Linked DNA regions of Daphnia pulex. The protein of the gene in region 1 purifies or fractionates together with the protein of each later gene. This does not show direct contact. Links are inferred from orthologs where the notes say so. Each region holds a gene or a part of one and is shown on either strand. Other genes may lie near its edges.

Region 1 (11,123 bases):
CTATCATTGGTAATATCTAGTAAAAATCTTAATTTACTTAAATTAATAAATTTGTACTAACTCGGTTATGTTTGATGAACACAGGCTGAACACGTGTATATCGACTCGAAATTTCGCATATTAAAATGGTGCCAAATATTAACTTCAAGGAGGGATTATCATTTGCCGGATTTGTTGTGATTGGCGTAAATTTCCTTATTTCCGGATTATTGATTAACTTTGTTCAACTTTTACTGTGGGTTTGTTTAAAACCTCTCAGTCCTTTTTTGTTCCGCAAACTTAATTATTATTTCACTTATGCAGTTTGGGGCCGTAAGTAAATTTATTAATTATATTTATTATTATATTTATCTTTTATCAAACGTTATTGTAATTTAAAACAGAAATGGAGTTTCTTGCAGAGTGGTGGTCGAGTTCTACATGCACAATCTATACTGATGATCAGACATGGGAAAAATTGGGTAGTGAACATGCAGTCCTCCTACTCAACCATTCATATGAAGTAGATTGGCTATTTAGCTGGTTTTTCTGTGAGCATGTTAGGATGTTAGGGGTAAGCATTCTTACCTTTGGTTATTCTTAAATTATCTAAATAATTCATTTATATTTATTCCTTGCATACTTTACTGTAATAATTCAGGGTGCCAAAGCATTGGTTAAAAAATCCTTCAAGAAAGTACCTATTATTGGATGGACAGCCTTTTTTTCAGAAAATGCATTTCTGGAGAGGTATTACATTTATTTTTTTATTATTATTATTTTTACCTTTATTTGCCACATTTTAAATTTATAGGAGCTGGGAAAAAGACAAGACAACATTAGAGAACCAATTATCTGAGATGACTAACTGTCCTGATCCTGTCATGGTAAGTTGAATGCCTAATGAAAATAAATTACCAGAGACTACAGTTTTCACATTTTTTAGTTACATTTGTTTGCTGAGGGAACAAGATATACTCCAGCTAAGCATGCAGCATCTGTTGAATTTGCTCAAAAAACGGGCCTTCCACCTTTGAAACATTTGTTGGTTCCTCGTACAAAGGGTTTTGTTTCGTCAATTGAAAAGCTTAGGGGGAAGTTCCCTGCAATCTACTGTGCTACTATGGTGTTTGATATGTAAGGTTAAAAAAAAAACTTTTTGAACATCTTTTTTATGTTGGTATTTTGATTGTCAACAGTAAAGAAGCTGCTGCGCCTGTGTTCAAAAGTTTAGTACTTGGCCGCCCTATCGCAGCCGAAGTATTAATTGAGCGCATACCTCTTGACGACATTCCAGAGGATAGCGATAAAGCAGCTAATTGGCTACATCAGAACTTCCATCATAAAGTATTGGCAAAAAATAAATTACTCTGTTTTATTTTAATGATATTTTTCACGTTTATTTTGTTTGATTGTCCTTAGGATAAAATGATTGACATCTTCAAGACCGAAGGACAATTTCCGTCTTCTCTTCCCGGTCATCACTTCAGTGGTCCCATTCGCAGTCATTATCGTCCAAGACGTCTTTGGACATTGCTAACTATTTTCATTACATCTTGTTTAACCCTTCCTCCTGTGTTAAATGCTTTCTACTCGCTGTTCTGCTCTGGATTCGTTAACATCGTGATAGGAGTTGTTTTATTAGGACTAGGTAATATTGAAAACCTAGTGGCCACACATTCTTCTTAAAATTGATGATTCATTTTTGTTCTATTTTTCAGTGATCGTCGCGTTGCTCAAGTTGATGGATCTTAGCAGTGCTAGCAAGGGATCAGAATATGGACACAGTCCTCGTACCAAGACAAACTGAACTATATTTCAAGAAAACATCACACAAATTTTGTTACATTACGAAAAGTTGTTTGATGACTAGAAGTTGCACATGCTGCTAATTTTGCTACTGATTAATTCTGGAAGTTAGACTTCTTGGATCATTTGGATGCCTTTAACCTTCTATTTCGAACGCTAATCTGTGGTGTTCAATGTTATTTTTTTTTCTTGCTTTGTTTAAAGAATTCAAAAATGTTTTGAGACATTTATTGTTATTGATTGATTTCCTTACGCGTCTTACAAAGAAAGCGTTCGAAATTATACTCTAGTTTGTCATAAAATGAATCTATTTGATTTAGAACGGGAGCTATAACATGTTATACTTGGAAGAATAAAGTTGAAAAAAAATTGATAATTACATTTTATCACTCTTCGGTGGAAGTAGTCTACTCATTAATAATTGATCAACAAATAATGTAATTTTTCGTTCTTCATCAATTCTTTAATCAATAGGTTATTAATTTTGTTTTTAAATAAATGCTAGTCACCGAACTAAGTCAATTCTTGTCTAGAAAAATTAAAACGTGCAGTCTTTAAGCATTGTATTTGTTCTTATTCATGACTAGTTAATTACAACAGATTCCTGAGAAGGTGAATCCATAGGAGCGATTATATTAGCGGTTTCAGATGAAGGCGAGTGTACTAGAGCGGAACTTTTCACATCATCGCTCCCAAGAGATAAATCTGTGCAACGTTCAGCTGAAATTTCCAAAACCTGAACAAACTGTTCGCAATTAATATCATGAGGAATTGAAAGCAGAATATTAGCATCTGAATCAATTTCTTTTAAGTTTACTGAAACTTTATTGGCGTCAATGTGACATACATCAGCGCCAGAGTTGCTGCATGGTTGTTCAACATTAGGCAACGTTAAAATTTGTTGGGTTACAGTAGCGACGCTTTCTGAATGAAAACCTTCGTTGGTCGTAGATTCTGATAATTCGCCAAAAGGAGCCATTTTAATAGACTTTATTTCTGTGATTAATGAAGCTCTTTCTGTCTGCATTGCTCTACAGAGCTTTTCAAGTTGGGCCAGTTGCTTTGTGGTAGTAAGGAGTTCAGAATCCCTTTGTTTCTTTTCACTGGCCATTTCGGTTAGCAAAGAGTTACTTTTCTCCCAACGCTGTTTCCAAAGCGCCGTTTCCTTTTCCAAGCTCTTAAGCTTTTTAGTCATTTCATCCATTTGAGTTTTAAAGCAACTGAACTGTTGATTGCTGGCTTTTAATGCCTGTTCAATTAAACAAGAAATTGAAATAATTTAAAATCAACTTATTGGACTAATTGGATGCCAATTTTACCTTTTGAAAGTCATCATATTTGTCTGTATACATAGACAACTGGTGGCGCAGTCCTACTTCCTCCTCCTGCATGACTTGACATTTCTTTTGATATTCAGTTAGATCCTGTTTTAACCAAACATTTTCAATGTATAGAAAAATTTGTATCATATTAGTAAGATAGGCAAAATGTAACAAACCAGCAGAAGTATCTGCTTTTCTTTCAGCAGTTTTTCCTTAGCTTCCGCGGAATCCATTCGTATTTTTGCAAGTTTAGCTTCATTTAGTTGACGTTCAATGTCATACTGCTTCCCTAATTTCTCCAAATGTTGTTCCCTTAAGCTGTACTGGTCACACAGCATCTGTAATTTTGTAGCCATTTCACTGTTTTCATCACGTAATTTTTGATTCTTATCATTGTTCTGCTGAAGTAATGCTGAAACTTCAGAAAGTGTTGTCTGAAATTTAGTAGATACTTCTTTTCTACGTTCTTCTTCTTCACGTACACGTAGCATGCTCTCCTCTACCAAAGAACATTTGTATTTAGTTGATGAACAGGTATCTTGAATGTGTGGGATGGAATGTAGAACAATATGGGAAAACTACCTTTTACAACCTTATTCTGTCTCTGGAGCTCACGGCAGAGTTCTTCTAATCTTGACCGAGCTAAAAGAGACTTCCCATTTTCCATTTGCAGTTGTTCTTTTTCCTTTTGTAAAACTGTCATATGCTTTTCATTATTTTTTAAACTAGCAGCAGTTGATCTGTTTTCTTCCAGCAATTCGGCATATTTTTGTGTTAAAACCTACCAGATTTGTATGAGATTTTCATTATACTGATGTATATAAGTTAACCATCATAAAAATTGCTTACCTTCAGTTTCTCTTCAGTTGTTAAATTGTTCATTGATTTCAGCAGTACTTCAACACCGCGCATTTCTTTTTTACGAGACTTGCTCTTTTCATTTTTCTCTCCACCAGCTTTCAAAATATCTGCAATAGCTTGAGATAATTCTTCAGATTTTGAACTACTCATTGTTTAAAATTTCAACCCTCCACTATGGTCCTATTGAATGACTACGAGGCTTGGCAAATTCAACTTCACCGGAATTTCTACTCTCCTACACTGCTTAAAATGGGGATAAAGCTATTTGTTAGTAACTCGGATGAAAAAGGTGTTCCCAGGGAATTCCACGGAGGCACTTTGGTACGTTTCGGAGGTCTCTAGAAATAGAGTAATATGCAACCAATAACAGTAGGTCCGTCTCTGCTATACTACATGGCCGGACATCCTACGTCCTTTTTACCCGCGAACACCAAAAAAGTACCAAAAAAGTTAAAAAAAAGTCTATCTATCTTGGCCCTTCGCCGTTGGCTGTTGGGAGTGGGAGTGTTGGCTGCTCTTGCCTCTTGGCACTCTTCTCTGGGGGCGGAGTCTTGGTCGATAAACACAAGCAGACGGATGATAATTTCTAGTGTCGAACCTCGCCATCTAGGGCATTGTTATTTTAAAATTCCCAACTTCACAATTATATGAAAGCACGAAAATAACATCTTTTAGTATAAATAATTTTAAGCTAAATGACCAACCAACAATTTTATTACTAGATGTAAGAATAAGAAATCGTGTGATCAGAGAAAACAATTACCCTTCACAGATGGAAGATAGGTTTCCATTTTCTAACGCTACGAGCGTTGAAAGCAACCCTATTTAAAAAATAGGCTCCCCAAAAAGTGAGACATCATTGGCCGCGATGTCGAAACTGTATAGCTACTACGGATTTACGGAATATGTTATTGTCTTATTAAAGAGCGAATCCACTTATTACAGTGTTTTCGTTGATCCCTAGAGCCAAAATTGCTGCAATTTCATATCGTTAACATCAGAATCAAATCGTCTATAAAACCATTTACACTTTTGATCTTATTTAGAGTCGTCTTAAAATGGATTAAAATTTCAGTGATTGTGTAGTGGGTTTTCTTTAGAACTTTTTACCCCCACAAATTCTTTGTGAAACGTTTGTTAGACTTTAAGAGACGTGACAAAATTTCTTATTATCGTTATTATCTTCCCGTAAAGTTTACAATGTCCAACAGTTCACCTTATCTTGTCAACTTTTTGTGTAAATTGATCTTTTTGACATCTGTGTGGGTATGGGTAGTAGAAGCAGATGTTTTAGTAATATCTCTTGATACAAATTCCACAGTAAATGCTTTTCCCAGTTTACCTGCTAATTTTGGGAAAGTCTTACCATTTGATGGATTGATTGGCTGTGTTGTTATTGCTAATCCTCAAAATGCATGTAACACAATTGACCCTCCTCCAAAGAATAGCAATTGTTCTGATAAATGGTTTGTTCTGATCAGACGATATGATTGTAATTTTGTTGACAAAGTTCGTGCTGCTCAGAATGCTAACTATGATGCTGCAATCATTTATAATGTTGGATCCAATCTTATTGGTAAATATGCTTACTTACGATGCATTTATCACTTCTTATAATGATTTTTTTGCAGAGCCTATGGCAGGAGAAGATGATGATGATATTATAATTCCTGCTGTATTCATTGGACAAGATGGTAAATTATGAGTTCTCTTGTTACATTTCAATAGTTTGACTTACAAATTTTTCGTTTGTTTTTCAGATGGACTAAAAATTCAGTCTATTTACCAATATTATGATGGGTATTGGTCATAGCTATCAATGGATAAACTCAATTAATTAAGCTATGATTTTCCTTAAAAGGTACATGCTGTTATTGACCAATGAATTGCCATTCAATCTAAACAGCTATCTTCTACCTTTTGCCATTGTTGTTGCAATCTGTTTTGCAATAATGGTAGTTTTTATGGTAAGTGATTTGATTCATCATTTATTTATACTTAACAACGTTCTAAGTCATGATTTCGGGAATAATCATTTAATGCCTGCATAATTTTTTAAGTTGATAAAGTGTGTCAAGGAGCGCAGACGATCTAGACGTATTCGTTTGCCTTCGTCGTCCTTGAAAACCATCCCTACTAACAAATTCAAGAAAGGGGATCCATATGATACATGTGCCATATGCTTAGAAGATTACGTAGATGGCGATAAACTTCGTATTCTACCTTGTTCCCATGGTTGGATTGGATTTCATTATTATTATTTGTTATTGTTAGTCTTAATACGGCCGTGATAAATGAAACCAATTTTTATTCACAGCTTATCACACCAAATGCATCGATCCGTGGCTTACGCGAAATCGCCGAGTGTGTCCAGTTTGTAAAAGGCGGGTAATTGCGCGAGGTGAACATCTTTCTGATTCTGATTCCGAAACGGAGGACGAATCTAGGCCTCTTCTTCGACCAGGAACGTATGGAACATCAGGAGGAACGTTCACTGATCAAACCGTAATTGTTTTTTTATAAAGGTAATTCTTTGTTTTCCCATGTTGAGACATATTTTGTGGTTTTAGAGAAATACTGGAAACAGAACCCATGGTGTATCAAATGCGTTGGTGTTGGATGAAGAAGCTATCGATAGAGGGCATTCCGTTCTTGTATCTGCAGATTCGATTGTTATTGAAAACGAGTAAATCACAAAAATTTGAATTGCTTGTATTATAACGCAGAATAATTGATTTAGTGTCAATTTTAGGGAAGCTACGGTTTCCGGAAACGACCAAGACGTCGGACAGGTTCACGGTAATATTGTTGTTTTGTATTGTTTCATTTTAGTTTTCTTATTTTTCCTTGCCGTAATCATAGAAATTGATATGTCGTCTGACGGTGAAGCAGAACAGCCGCAGGAAAACCTGAATGCCGATAGTTCCGTGTATTTAACTCCTGAAAGTCACCGCTCACGGGATCCTATGAATGTTTAATATCTCTTGTAATTAAATCTTTAAATTGACATGCTGTTATATCCTCCTATTCATTATATGATTTCAACCTAACTTTTTTCTTCATATATCTGGTTGTGAGAAGATGAATAAGACAAATTTACAATTCTTCCGAAACCCGAATTCTACTGTGTCAGCGACAAAAGCGCATGACAACGTTTACCTTTACAACAAGAAATTTGCTAAATTTAATCAATACACTACATTCGTATGCGACAAAGAAAATATTTGACGAAAGTCGCCCCTTGAACGAAAATGAAACAAGATTTATGTCTTTCCTCTTTGATAATTTCAAATAATTCCACATTGAACTACGATCGTCAACGCTGTTGCGTCAGTAGAGGAATAGTCATTGAGCGCGTCTCGTGTTAGTGTAGTATGTTTATTACTAAACCGTTATCCATTTGCATTTTTTTTTATAATAAAAGTATTCCATTAAATTGGTTATTATTTCAAAATAATAAATATTTCCACAAAAAAATATATTTGATTCAGTTCCTCAAGGGTAGGCGGCAAAACTTTGAATGTTCGTCCTTGAACCTTTTTTCTCCGTGTCTCACTTGAGGGATATTCTACTAGGAATGGATTATAGTGATATGACATTTTTGTTGTGGGAAGGTAGTGCTGTATTTTAGAGAGGTAATTAAATTTACTAGCGCTCGCTGAGACGACAATAAAAATTTCCCTGTGGAAAACGCCGCAAGTACAAGGTTGTTTCATGAGCGCTGCGTACATACGAAAGATATATATTTGTTTAGAGTGATAGATAAATATTTCTTCAAAGAATTGAATATGTGTTCATCACGTAATGCGATCAAATTAATTGCTATTATGTAACATGTGTGGGTAAGAACGTACGCGTAGACTACAATTAGAAAGTTCGGATCTCGGGTAATTAATAAGCAATGGACTTTAAATGAATTGAACGTATACAGATCAGCAGCTGTCTTAAGTGTTAAAAAATTGTTCGTTGCACTAGTCAATATCTGTAGTAAGCGCAACGAAATATTTCGTTGAATGGCTAGTTAGTGCATTGGTGCAACGAAATATTTCGTAGCGGTTTACTACAGCAGATATTAGGTGATGTATATATTAGTTGACGCTATCACGTTTCTCCGACATTTCTTTGCTTAATTCCCAATACAAGAATTTGTCTTCGTTGCTTCTTTCAATAACTCGCGTATTCCACATTTTATTTCGTGATGTTTTATCAGTTATTAGACTATGAAACCAAAACCGATTGAAATTCCGTGTGTTAAAATTTTACCAGTATCAATTAATCATCGATTACACAAGATTCAATTTTTGTGGCGATCAACCACTGAAATTTAAAATATTTTTTTTATTTTTACTGTTTGTTACTGTGGAAGAGTTGGTGTGTTGGATAAGGCGTCACTTTTGAACAGGTGTGCCTTTCCTTGGGGATGGGAGTTCAAATCTCCCAGTGAGCATTAGAAGTTTCTCACACACCCGCTCTGGCGCCACTATGGTGTCACAAATCTAGTGAATCCAGGCATTGTGTTCTCGCCTCCCGAGTGATGACCTCTGGTGAGTTCTCATTGAACCTAGATTCCCAATTGGTAATCAGGCGCTTCAGAAATTCAGTACCTGAAGAGATGCTTGATCTAAAGTCAAGCTAGAGTGACATTCATTTTGGCTAAAATTGTTAGCATTTCTTTCTCGAATTCTTTTACGCGAGCTTTTAACTTTGATTGTATTACCTCTTTCTTAAGTCTAACATGAGCCAAGTCCAAATTGTAATTTGAATTTTTAATTGAAAAATAATGTGAAAAAAATGGCCATGATTGCGGAAAATGCCAACCTTTGCGGATATTCCGTAATTTTGTCCTGGACTCCTTCGATTCTTAATTCTTTTTCGTTGCTACAAAAACAAACCCGAAATTTTGATAGCCCTTCGTCTACAGTCTCGTACATCAACAACCATGGTCTCGTAGCTCGATGATAAATGTTTAAGTGTAATCCGGTGGTACTACCTAATAGTCGGGTCTTGCCTAACACCCACTGTAAATTTCTGGAGGCGACAGTGACACGAAGCTCTCTGGGCGACAGATTTCACGACATAATTTTTTATCTCACGGATTTACTTTGTAGGGTAACAATCGAGTTTGTAAACAATCACGGTTGATGAAGGACAAGTTTGGCTCTGATTAGTCTGAAAAGTGAAAACTAAAGAGTAGCAAAAAGTTACCAACAACACGCTGGCTCCGCGCATGGATTCGTACGCTTTCATACAGTATTTTAGATTAAACGTGGTTGAGAATTAACCCTTTTAAATAATGCGCAACATAGAACTAATACATTTTTGGTTCGATTTACGTACGTCTGAAAGTTTAATCCACTAGTAGGAGTGCACGATTGCGATCTGTGCGCCGATAGATGTTTGGGAATTATTAATTAAAGGAAACACACTCGGAAACACATCGGATGCGATTAAGTAAAAAGGGATTAGATAACAGCAGATAGGGTGGTAAGAGGGGTCAATAAAAAAAATCAAAATTAAGAAAAAGGACGACAAGGATTGAAAGAAGAACAAACTGGTAAAGGCGCCACCTGGGTGGAGTGTGTCGACCAGGTGTCGACTGTTCTCGATCCTTCTTTGCGGAAGCCTGATACCTCAAAACATCGATGCAGAATGTCGAATCGAAAAAGAAAGAAGAAGGGACGCCAATTGATAGTTAAGTTTTTTGCCCAATAGGCATTTGATATAAATTGTGGCCGAAAAAACTAAGTCGTACGAAGATAGTGTCGTACGTAATAGTAATAAATAAAGAAAAAAGTAGTGATTTTGCTAACGGTATTAGGTCATTTCGCCATAACGATGTTTCGAATGTTCGTTAGTGACCCGCAATCTAATCACGTCACTGTTCACCGGGCACACCCTTGACACATGGTCAATTAATCCCGCACAACTGAGCCCACTCGTCGGCAAGCGCATACAACTTATAACCCTCTAGTGTGACTTTAGATCAAGCATCTCGTCCGGCATTACACCTTCAGCACCTGATTACCAATTGGGATTCTAGGTCTGAGCCTCGCCCCGCGTCCGGGACCTCTGTCTAGAATCACTAGATTCGCCGAAAGTTCCATCACAGTGGCGCTAAGCGGGTGTGTGAGCAACTAATTAAGCTCACTAGGGGGTTCGAACCTTTGCCTCAAAGCGCATCTGTTTGTAAGTGACGCCTTATTCAATTCACCCGCTCGCCAACTATATAATCTATTTTTAAAAATGACATTTTTTTAATTTCAGTGGATGAGAATTTCAGAAAAATTCACGATTTTTTCCTAATTTTCATTTGAATAAGATCCAGTCACGGAAACGGAGTGTCCAAAACATCTAGATATTGGCTGAAAGGCAGCAACGCAGCAACAGCTATTGACTTTTATCTAAATTTCTTCAGTGATAGGAATTTGGGAGTTGAATCACTTGCAATTTGCGAGTTAAACAATCGTGCGTTTCTAGTAGAAAATTAATTGAAAGATGGCCGCAACAGTGAATGTGAACTTAAGTTCTGCTTCTGCTGCAATCCTTATTTTCCTTATCAAATCTTTACAATACTACATTAAAAGAACACCTGATGAAACTCTTTTGAAAATTGTTGTTAATTATTTAAAATTTTTAATAATAATTTAATTAAGAGCGAGAGTGGATCGTTGTAAAATAGGCTGCAAAAATTGATTGACAGGATGCTGGTCGTCTGCGATCCAATGGGTAAGCTGAAATATTTAAACAACTGAATGACGATGACTGGACGGCAAATTTATTAAATAAATTCACCTTTACGAGCTGCCTTCGAACCCCATCAGTAATCCGAAAGATTTCAAACCCATCGGCTGACCCGTCAGCCGTTCAAGCGAGCATGCAAAGAGCCGTTTGCTTTGTACTGTGAAATATATTACAATATTAGTTAAGTAAAATTATTAGTTTAATAAAATTTTAGTTAAGTTACTCTACTGATGACAACTAGTCAACTACATATGTTATTTAAAAAAAAACACCAATTTGGAATGACGTAATTAATAAATTTTCGACGCAGCATCCGTTACTAGCTACCGAAATTGCAATGTTGTGAGAAATTCGAAAGAAAGAGTTAACAAACATCGATCAGTTGTTGTGGGATTGTGGCAATAAGTTCAA
Region 2 (10,687 bases), on another chromosome or scaffold:
ATTATCGATTGCTTTTGCGTAGGTGTACAATCGGCCGCTGTTAACGTCATTTGTGAGCTGGCCAGAAAGAACCCCAAAAATTATCTCAGCCTGGCCCCAATTTTCTTCAAATTGATGACATCATCTACCAATAATTGGATGCTCATCAAGATCATTAAATTGGTAAGCCTCCGTAATGATGGGGTACAGTATACTGGGTATTCTAGACTAACAAAGTTTAATGGTCGAAAAAGAATCGATGTTTTCGTCAAAATTGTTCCATAATCCGATACGTTCTTATTAGTTGAATGCAATGACACAGTGCGATTCTCGCCTAAGCAAGTGCATAAGCCAACCACTTATAGCCATAATAAAAAGGTATCAGTCGTGAAAAGAGCGATAAAATTGTAAGGCTTGACTAGGATTTCATTTCCTCCCTTAGTAGATCAATATTGACCGCATTCCCTTGAAATTTTTTTTGTTTTCACTTGCTTATTATTTTGTGTATTTACAGTTTGGAGCTTTAACACCCTTAGAGCCTCGCCTTGGCAAAAAGCTGATTGAACCTTTAACTAATTTGATTCACAGGTAACAACAAAAAATGTCAACACCTTCCTATTTGATTTGTGCAACACTAGCTTTGCGCTAGACTATCAATTTTGATCTGTCGCCATATTTGATTATTTGCTGCTTTCATTCATTTTTGCCAACATTATTTTTAATCGATATCGCATAATTTTTTCCAGCACTTCAGCGATGTCGCTGCTCTATGAATGTATCAACACTGTCATTGCGGTTCTAATTTCCATATCGACCGGCATGCCTAGTCACAGTGCATCTATTCAGGTACCACCAACCGATCCCTTATCGTTTCAACATATTCGATATTTTCAAAAGAAATCAACTCATTTTCCATTTTTTTAATTTAGCTGTGTGTTCAGAAGTTGCGTATTTTGATCGAAGACTCTGATCAGAATTTGAAATACCTTGGTCTACTAGCCATGTCCAAGATCTTGAAAACGCACCCGAAATCCGTTCAAGCGCACAAGGATTTGATCCTGCTTTGCCTTGATGATAAAGACGAATCGATACGGTTACGCGCTCTAGACCTTCTCTACGGAATGGTTCGCTTCACATTTTCTTTAAAAATAAACCAATTTTTAAATTGTTTCTTTTGGTTTTGTAAAGGTGTCAAAGAAGAACCTCATGGAAATTGTCAAGAAACTGATGGTGCACATGGATCGAGCAGAAGGAACGCAGTACCGTGACGAGCTTCTTTCTAAAATCATCGAAATTTGCTCTCAAGATAATTATCATTTCATTACCAATTTTGAATGGTATTCTAGAGTACTCGTAGTGAATGAATTGATTGAAAAACTCAACCGCTCCATCTCTTCCTTTTTTTAGGTACATAAGCGTTTTGGTGGATTTGAGTCGAATGGAAGGCCTCCGCCAGGGTCACGTTGTGGCTTCTCAGCTGATGGATGTAGCGATCCGCGTTCCTGCCATTCGTCCATTTTCTGTTGAACAAATGGCTCTCTTGTTGGAAACATCGAGTGGCTTTGCTATTCGTGGAATCACCGGACAAGTGGCCTTCTCTTCCATGTGCGAAGTGCTTTACGCAGCCGCCTGGATCTGTGGAGAATTCGCATCGTAAGGATTTTTTGTGTAACTCCGTTGGAAACAATTAAATAATATCTTTTATTTTTATAGGCATCTTAAAGAGCCCGAAGCAGTTTTAGAATGTATATTGAAAAGCAAAGTGACTGTACTCCCTGGTCACATTCAAGCTGTTTTCATCCACAATCTGATGAAGCTTTACGCTCACATTCTTCACAAAGCATCCACGGCGGATGAGAAAGAGAAAGCACAATTGGTACTAAATTTTGTTTATGGCTTCATCCAATTCAAATTCTATTTCAACATTTCCCTGTTTTTGTCTTGAAAGATGCTGTGTGTCCTTCAAGAGCGACTGACTCCGTTCATGCAAAGTGCCGATTTGGAGGTTCAGGAGCGCGCCAGCACCGCTGTCCACGTCCTCAAAGTGATTTCCAAATTGCAGGACGCTGGCGAAGGAGACGTTGTCAACGAATTGATGCAGCTCTTCCAAGGCGAGCTGAATCCAGTAGCGCCTAAAGCTCAGCGCAAAGTTCCATTACCTGAAGGGTAAGCCACAAATTTGAAAAAACCGTTTCGTTGAGAAACTTTTGGTTTACAATTTCTGCTCGTTTAGTTTGGATTTGGACGCCTGGATCAACGAACCGGAACCAGAGTCGGACGAAGAACCCAAAGCTGACGGAGGAGGGTCCCTTGATATTTTCTACAAGTCGAGCACATCCGCGCCCGACTTCCGCGACGGCTACCAAGGCGAAGGCGTTTACGACGAAGGTGACCAGGCCCAGTCAGACGACGTCCGCCAGCAGACGCTTCGGCAGCAGCAGGTGCGCCGCGAAGCCCTTCGCGTCGAGCAGGCCAGCAACCCGCATTATCTCAAGGGTTCCAGCCAAGCGCGACGGTCACCTTCGTCTTCCTCGCAATTATTATCTCCGACCGAAGAGATCCCCGTCATGTCCATCAACTTGTCCGTTCCACTTCAGGTCTCCACTAGTAGGAAACTCTCCGACAAATACTTGGAGCTCGAACGAAACAAGGAAGCGTCTTCCGATTCCAAGAAACATCGATCCAAGCGGGACAAGAAAAAGAAGAAAAAGAAGGGTAAATACCTGTTCAATTCAACAATATTTTTTATTGCAGTGTAATAACGTTTGATTGTTATCCTCTCTGGTTATAATAGGTTCCAGCGACGAGGAAGAGGCCGCCGCCGAGATTGTTGCTCCACAAGTGATATCTACCATGGAGTTGCCGGAAGGAGCGCGATTGTCGGACTCTGAAGACGATGGGCGACCACAGACGGACCCCCACCGCGCATTGAACATTGATTTAGAAGAGTATGTTTTTTTTATTATGGGCTTGGCTTTCATTTGGTTGTTATGTAATTTCACGCTCTACTTTTTGGGAATTTCTTTGCCATTTGCCATTTTTCCCACAGCCATTCTTATCCGAAAGAAAAACCGGTGGTGCGAGTAACCCTGGAACCGGCAGCTGCGCCACCAATCCCAGCCAAATCCAAGAAACCCAAGTCGAGAAACGGGGTAGAAGGTCTCAAGGAAGAGAAAGCCAAGAGAAAGAAAACGAAACAGGAGAAAGAGGAGAATGCACCGCCGCCGCTGCCACCGACGACTAAGGGCGTTAACCTCAATGACGATCTTGACTTTTGGTTGTCGGCCAGCAACGGCAACGACGCCAAGGAAAAGAAAGTCGTCGCGAAAGGTGAACTGACCATCGATGAAACTGCCACGGCGGCCGACTCCCAGAAGACGGCCAAGAAGACAAAAGACAAGAAGGAAAAGAAAGACAAGAAAGAGAAGAAAGCCAAAAAAGAAAAGAAGAAGAAGGACATCAAAGACTTTGATGACCAAAACAATCATCTGTCGGATAGTGTCATTGCTCCGGTCGCGATTGCGTGGAAATCCTTAGTAGATGACAAACGTCTCGTCATGGTAAAAATTCAACCATAGGTAACCCGAAATCGTTTATAGTTGTTCATTTCACTTTTGTTTGTTGCAGAAATATCGTGTTGTCGCTGTACCTCACGATCAGCACCAAGTATTAGTCCCGGTACAGCTCCACAATCGCAGTGGCAAACTGATTCATTCGATGATCTTTAATGTGGTCGACTCTACCAACGCCCGTCTATGCCGTGGGCAGCACGAGCAAGACGGGGTGGAATTGCCTCACCAGTTAGCCAGCCAAAGCCGAGTCGAAATTCCATTTGCTTTCGCTGTCGCCGACAGCACCATGCTGCACCAGCTCAGAGGTGTTTTGACCTACATGACTCAGGTATCAAGTCTACCAAATACTACTAATTTTCCCCCTCGGGTGATATTAATTGAATTCTTTTGCTATAAATGTGAAGGGAGAAAACGGATCTGTCTCGGAAAAGTTGGATTTCAAACTGCAAATTCCATGTAGCGTCTTCCTCTCTTCTGACCCCATCAGTGGCGATCAATTTGCCGAATTATTGGCTTCCCAGGAACTGATCGGCAAAGACAAGGCAGTGTGCGAAGGAATTGCTTTATCTCAGGTACAGCCATTTTTTAAAGATTGGTCTTTTAATCTATTATTAATTTTTAATACGTGAATTCTAAATGTCTATAGGCGATTGATCGTGTCAGTAGAGAGCTTAATATGCGTTTAGTCGAAATGGATAGTTCGGGAACATCCGCCTCGTTATACTGTCGCCACTCCACCGCTCATCATCTCTGCATTCTCATGAAATCACAGGTATTTGCAGCTAGAAAATGATTTAGGTGTGTTGCCAGATTTTTATTTAATAATCTATCAATTGTAATTAGGCGGATGGTCGGCTGAGCATTTACGGAAAGAGCAGTAACCCGTCGTTGGTATCGTCGGTCATGGAAGAAATGCGGCAAATGTTTGCTTAATACAAAACGTGTCGCTCCTGTCGATCCGGTTTGACGCATTAAACCTAAGATGATGTTTCAATGCAAAACCTGAAGGGAAGTTTATAACCGAAAAGCCGAAAAGAGAGAAAAAAAAAGAGCCTTTTTGAAGTTGTTAACCTATTCCAAGTTGAATTCTAATGTCAATCCAATCTTAACATGTTACTGTATTTTTCTAAGTGGATAAGGGTTGGGCGAGATGGTGAAGCGCAATTGGATCGGTGGTCATGAATCATCTTGTGCTCAGCTTCCGTAAACTTCAAAACAAACAACAGCGAAAGAGAAATATACAATTTGGTTGATTATCTTAATGTATAATTGGCGTCCTTTTGAGACTGTTTAATCTGAGATACAGAAAGGAAAGAAAGAAAAAAAACAAACAGTACAAAAGCGTATATAAATCCGATTACAAGCATGCATAGTAAAATCCAGTTTTACTACAATGGGTATACCTGCTAGAGAAAAACTAAATACCTGGGCGTAACAAACTTTTAGTAGCATAAGAAAATGAGAAATTCAGTATTAGATATGACTGTCGCATTGTGGACATCCACCGCCTCACAGATGTAAGACCCACAATCTTGGGGTTTCAATTGGCGGATGGTCAGGTAAGCCGAGTCGGAAACGACGGACACTCCATAACGGGGATCCTATCAAATGAAATTAATTAAAGTATAGAACAAATTAAATATTTCTAGATAATAATTTACCTTGTGGATCATTTGAGTTCCAAAAGCGATCGGTGTTTTAATTGTAGATTCCAGCAAATTGTTTTGCGTTTCGGCCACACTTCTGTGTTGCGTTTTGTACCATTGAAACTCCTGCATTGTAATAAAACAAATAATTATGACTAGACATTTTACGAAGAGGTAACTTTTTTAAAAGTTGACAATGTCTTTATAATAATCTAGGTTTAGTATTTCACGCTTTCTGATGCGGAAGGTCCTTTAGCTACCAACCATTAGAAAAACGAAATCGCCAAAAAGGTTTTTTCCATCTTTGAGACTGACATCACAAAAAATGTTAACTTTCTTGCACGTCGTCTAGACGAGCTTTCTTATTATGCAAGTAAGAAACTTCTAATTTGCAAGTTGTGAAAATACTAGCAGGTTTCAAGAATTAGGAGTCAAGATGTAGTAACAGCTAAGGAAATGCTTCGTCAATCTAAAAGAATAAGATGAACAGAAGTGCAATATAAAAAGATATTGTGTTGTTGCGTTCAACCATCCAGCACACGTTCTCCCTGGACATTTCTCTTTCGTTTTTAAAAAACAGAAGGAAAAAGTCGAACGAAACCATTGCCACTTATTATTTCGCCTCCGGTTTAAGGATAAACTAATGGCGTGTGTTTCACTAATTAAAATCTAAGAATGAAATCGTTTAAAGTTCCATTTGGGCCCCCATTTTTCACTCTTCCAAACTATCCAACAATTTATTATTTAAATGGAGTTTTTTCGTGGCGTTATTATATAACTTGAAGCACAGCATATACAGACGTGGGTAATGCAGCACCCCATTACATGCATCGCACGTTCTCCGCCTACAGCGCCAGCGCTGGAGAAAGTGTTGGAGAAAGTAAAAATCCCCCGGCTGTGTCTATCGCTGCCGCTTTTGGAGTTGCTGGCCGCTCTTCAAATACTATTCTTCAATTTAGGTGATGGCTTTTGGCTATATGCAGTCCATAGATAACCACATGTTTTTTTTTTCGCATTGCCAGCAATGTAAATATCCCTTTTCACGCATAAGCAAACAGCAATATCCATTTCCGTGCTGGGACATGCGTAGAAAGCCGCAGCACACTATCTACACAGCTGGTTCACTATATATTTCTCCTGACCAACACAACTTATTGCCACCCATAAAATGTTTCTTTTTGGACATGACGGAACTTTCCTCGAACAAGAAAATGTAGGCTAAAAATTAAGTTACGCTCTAACATATCCGCTCTTAAAGTAATTTAAGTAATAGCCAAATAATTCAATGCAATAATTGGAAAATTCAAATTTACCACTGGTTGCTGAAGTTGCTGCTGCTTTGGCCAAGAGCAGGTAATGGTCAAGTCGTGCAGCAGTTTAGGGCAAGATGAAGTTCTGGTTAGCAGCCGATAAGGTTTGGCCACCGATTTTTTGACAATTAAAGATGGAGACTGTTGCTGGCGACTCTGAATATTCACCGCCTGTTTGATGGGCTTCGAGTAAGGCCATGGCCAGCGATCCTGAGCAGGACTACCAGTGACCGAAGTACCGATGGGAGATTGATTAATCTCTGGGCTTTTGGCCTGTCTGACGATAGTGGTGTGATCGGGATTCAAATTAGGTGAATTGGCCCTTCTCCCTTCAGTTTGAGCCGCCGGTGGAATGAATTCGGAATGCGGAACCGGCGAAAAATTAGGGACGAAAAACTCATCCGCATCCAGGAAGCGAATTTTAGAGACGCCAACTGCTCCACTGTGAGGCGAAGAAGCCAAAGTCGGACTGGGATTGGCTGGCCGGAAACTGGCCACGACCGGCGATTGGATGGAATGCTGCTGGTCGTTGTCTTCCGATTGCGATCGGAAGAGAATATCTTTCAACGATCGGTACTGAACTAAATCCCTGCTCGTTTCCACCGGGAAAAAGACATTGGGCGCCACTGATTGGATCAACACTGATGCGATAAGAACAAACAGCAGCAGCAGCAGCTTAGAAAATACGGCGACGTAACACACGGAAGAGGACATGCTATTGACTTGCGCTGCACAACTCTTCTCAAGACGTTCTGACGAGAAAGCTGTTGCTTTACAAGTCCAGCAAAGCCTGCAGGATGACGGCGACAGCACACACACTCACAAACATTCAGCCCGGAGATGAAAGTCGCCTCTTAGCTCTTGTTGTTGTTGTACACCCTGTTGTCCGATGGAATCGAGTTGAAATGCTTACAAAAGGGAGGGGGCAGTGCTGCGGAGAAAGTTGACTTGGATGATATTGTATGTATTTTCACTTGTGTATTTCTTTATACAAGCCAAGGTACCTCCTTTTTCACAAGACAAAATAATCTGAAAAAAAAATTCCCGGAAAAAATTCGCGGTGAACGCAACAGTAAATCAAAGTCTGAAATCGAAAAGAAATTGGTTTCACGTTACCTTTTTTTTTTCGTTCGACCATTTAGGAGCTATAAAAGCAAACAATCGGGCTGTTATCAAAAGAAAATTCTTTAAACTCAAAAGAGAAAACTTTAATTCCATACAGCTAGTTTTTAGTGAGATTATTTACTTAATTGAATTAAAATAGAAATAACTAGCCAATTTTATTTTATGGGTGTTTAGAGAAACGTCATATCCACTAAGGATTAATTTTCCGGGAGCGGGAGTTTCAATTCTTGTCAATTTAGTTTGATACCACTTGGGCCACTGTGCACACAGAAAAGCTATATGGAGAATAAACTTACATACATGTTGTTTTGTCACTACAATATGTGAAACCAAATGAGCTTTGAGAAGAGAAACTTGTCGGTTGCGCTCGGCACATGACCAAGCAATCGACCGCATACTTTTTGTTAAAAAATACAACCCATATATTGATTGATGATATGATTGGATTTATATAGTACAGATATTATACGTTGGGTGAATTTGTCTATCGTTTCCCATAGAGAAAAGCTAATCTAGAAAATAACCAATAATACAGGTTGCTAGTAATGCCGAGTGATTTGAGTCCAAAGAGAAAGTAACTATATGGTAGTCATCATGTGGTAGTCACCATAGCAGTCGTCAACTACATATTGTTTACCAGTTTATTGATTATAAGAAATGCAAAAATGAATAATAGAAAATTTTTTAATGTCGAAATAATAAGAAAGATTTTCTGACATTAGCAAATAAAAATCTAAATTGCTACCTTTAGAAGATTAGAAGTAATGAAATCCGCAACGCTGAAGGAATAAATGAACGCGAAAACGGAAACCCTTTAGTGTTTTGCGTGAGTTTTGACTAGATTATACGTAAATTGATAACTTATTATAAATTACTATTTTTTCTAAACCTTTGGAACGGAGCAATCATCTATGTTAGTCCATAGCAGCATGATAGCAGGTCCTTAGTCGTTCAAGTCCCTGCTCCCTGGGCGGGCATCCCAGACGTTTTCCAATCCAGATTTAATTCTTATCCATTTATTTATATTTTCGTGATATGTGCTATTTACAAAATATGATACTGTTACAGGTTTATTAAATTTTTAATTGGTTAGAGTTTAGGTGCGCAACGAGAAGATTGCCCTAATGCCCTACTCCAGCAATGTCTTTGATATGAGGCTCAGAGGTGGCAGCACTTGCACGAGCAGACTGATGTTTACAAAATAAGTCACACCGACTCGGCATCGTCTGCAGCAAAAAAAAAAAAAAAAAAAAACTACTAAACTCTTTTGGCCAATTGTCATCCACTAAAGGTTTGTTAAATTAAAAACTAAGCTTATAGTCTTTGTTTGGCATTTGTCATCTCTTAACCAGCATTTAGCCATGTAACGGTTATTTCTTATAAAAAGGTTTTCACTAGGTTTTTATTCCTTTGCTGTTCTGCCTTATGGATCCTAATCAGCTTCAATCTTTTTGGCTTCCAATAATATTTGAAGCTGGAGCACAAATGGAAGAAATTGACAAACAACAGCAATGGCAGGTAAATTTGTGCAAACCATAATTATATTCTCATTCAAATGATTAATCATGCTGAAATTACAAAGATTGTAGCTGCCATGTTAGGATGCAGTTCTCATCTTGAATGGAACCTAAAATGATTGCATCACCTCCCTGGTCCAATCCATCTCTGCTCCCGCTGCATTGACCGATGTCTAAAACCGAATATGTGGAGCGCTGCATGAAGCAAACTTAATTTATTCACAACACTATAATGATGCTTTTTTTGCTGCTGAATGATGATTTTTTAATTATTAAAATTTCTTTAACATGACTACAGACTGCACAAAAACTGAGTGATCATCACTTATTCTTTTATTCCCTTATTCATTTACATTGCGTGTAAAACATTTTTATACAGTGTCTTGGAAATTTGCAACTTGCATCAGTCCTACGTTAAAATTTACCTACTAGGATTGTGACCCGGCTATATGTGCGTAGACCTGATTCAGCTGACGGCTTTGGGGATTTTTATGTGATACCAAAATTTATGTAGCTAGCAAATTTCGAAAAAAATAAATAAATTGTGTTGGCATCTCCGCTGAATATCTGACCACATTCAATGATGAGCTAAAGCTTCATCGGGCACGGCATGGGAGGAAATAAGGTTCTTTGAACGAGTTGCAGTCTTTTTCTTAACCTGGAATTCATCCCCTGGTTAAAGTAGTTTGTAACATCATACGGATGGCAGCTCTTAAATGTACCAGAAGGAAAAGTGCCCACTCTCTTCTACTGAGTATTAAATAATTCCATGGTAGTAATAGTCTATAACAAGCATTATATCATTTTTTCATTGTCACTGTTTCAGGAGTTTTTCGGGGTGTACACGAATTACTTGTTAGATCCAAGTTGGTATTTCGCCTGAAGGAGGGATTAGCCTACTATATGCAGTTGTCTGTGCTTTTTGGCGACGCATCAGAGATGTTCGACAGTTCGAGTATTCCGCTTCATTTGTCGGTTAAGTAATATTTGCGTATTCAACATTTGTACGTTATCCAATAGTGTTTTACGTACATCATCAGGGTACTATTAAGTCAGAAAACATAACTTGAGCTATAATTTTGTTAAAATTGAAAATTAAGTTTATACATATCACAGAAAATCTAATTATTTCAAATCTAAATTTTTTGTTTGAAACAGGAAAAGTAAAAAAAAAAAAAATGTATGAATTAAAAATTCACAATCTCAAAGTTCTGGCCAATCAAACTGAGGCATTCGGTAAGTATCATTATCAAGTTCTAGACGTGAAAGCCTGGGTCCAAAGTAGTTAATTATATAATGAGATCCATCAGCAGGTCCAACAGTTTGAGTAGCAATCAATATGATGTCCACAATTTGACCTATTTTTAGGTTAATGTTATTCAAATGTTTATTAAATGTTGTATAAAAATATTACCTAGAAACATGCAACCCAATGTGCACAGTTTAAAAAGACCTATTGCTGGGTACCCCAGGTAGAATCGATCAGCACCAAACATTCCAAGAAACACTGAGAGTAGCAACGATGTCTCAAATGAGTA

What was found.
Region 2: the proteins of E3 ubiquitin-protein ligase RNF13-like (region 1) and AP-3 complex subunit delta-1-like purify together in Homo sapiens (affinity purification with mass spectrometry; 3 studies listed by BioGRID and IntAct, counting the BioPlex papers as one, with this or other methods). This does not show direct contact. The link is inferred for Daphnia pulex from reciprocal best matches to the Homo sapiens genes RNF13 and AP3D1.

What each region holds. Positions count from the first base shown.
Region 1 is NC_060019.1:4,263,939-4,275,061, reverse strand, and holds E3 ubiquitin-protein ligase RNF13-like, read left to right. Parts: upstream 1-4,810; 5' UTR 4,811-5,171; coding exon 5,172-5,547; intron 5,548-5,602; coding exon 5,603-5,665; intron 5,666-5,731; coding exon 5,732-5,771; intron 5,772-5,832; coding exon 5,833-5,938; intron 5,939-6,031; coding exon 6,032-6,206; intron 6,207-6,288; coding exon 6,289-6,476; intron 6,477-6,541; coding exon 6,542-6,657; intron 6,658-6,723; coding exon 6,724-6,770; intron 6,771-6,833; coding exon 6,834-6,949; 3' UTR 6,950-7,233; downstream 7,234-11,123. Other genes in the region: 1-acyl-sn-glycerol-3-phosphate acyltransferase gamma-like, read left to right, coding at 126-312, 384-553, 641-729, 794-866, 926-1,116, 1,179-1,326, 1,402-1,630, 1,701-1,789; alpha-taxilin-like, read right to left, coding at 2,372-3,037, 3,108-3,212, 3,287-3,609, 3,693-3,891, 3,960-4,121. UniProt on the Homo sapiens protein: E3 ubiquitin-protein ligase that regulates cell proliferation. Involved in apoptosis regulation. Mediates ER stress-induced activation of JNK signaling pathway and apoptosis by promoting ERN1 activation and splicing of XBP1 mRNA.
Region 2 is NC_060021.1:781,132-791,818, forward strand, and holds the end of AP-3 complex subunit delta-1-like, read left to right. Parts: intron 1-22; coding exon 23-162; intron 163-493; coding exon 494-567; intron 568-725; coding exon 726-825; intron 826-908; coding exon 909-1,103; intron 1,104-1,167; coding exon 1,168-1,316; intron 1,317-1,386; coding exon 1,387-1,632; intron 1,633-1,692; coding exon 1,693-1,855; intron 1,856-1,927; coding exon 1,928-2,145; intron 2,146-2,212; coding exon 2,213-2,694; intron 2,695-2,773; coding exon 2,774-2,927; intron 2,928-3,028; coding exon 3,029-3,539; intron 3,540-3,606; coding exon 3,607-3,879; intron 3,880-3,955; coding exon 3,956-4,123; intron 4,124-4,197; coding exon 4,198-4,323; intron 4,324-4,394; coding exon 4,395-4,484; 3' UTR 4,485-4,807; downstream 4,808-10,687. Other genes in the region: uncharacterized protein LOC124194089, read right to left, coding at 4,994-5,152, 5,213-5,323, 6,511-7,221; TM2 domain-containing protein CG10795-like, read right to left, coding at 10,353-10,507, 10,564-10,687. UniProt on the Homo sapiens protein: Part of the AP-3 complex, an adaptor-related complex which is not clathrin-associated. The complex is associated with the Golgi region as well as more peripheral structures.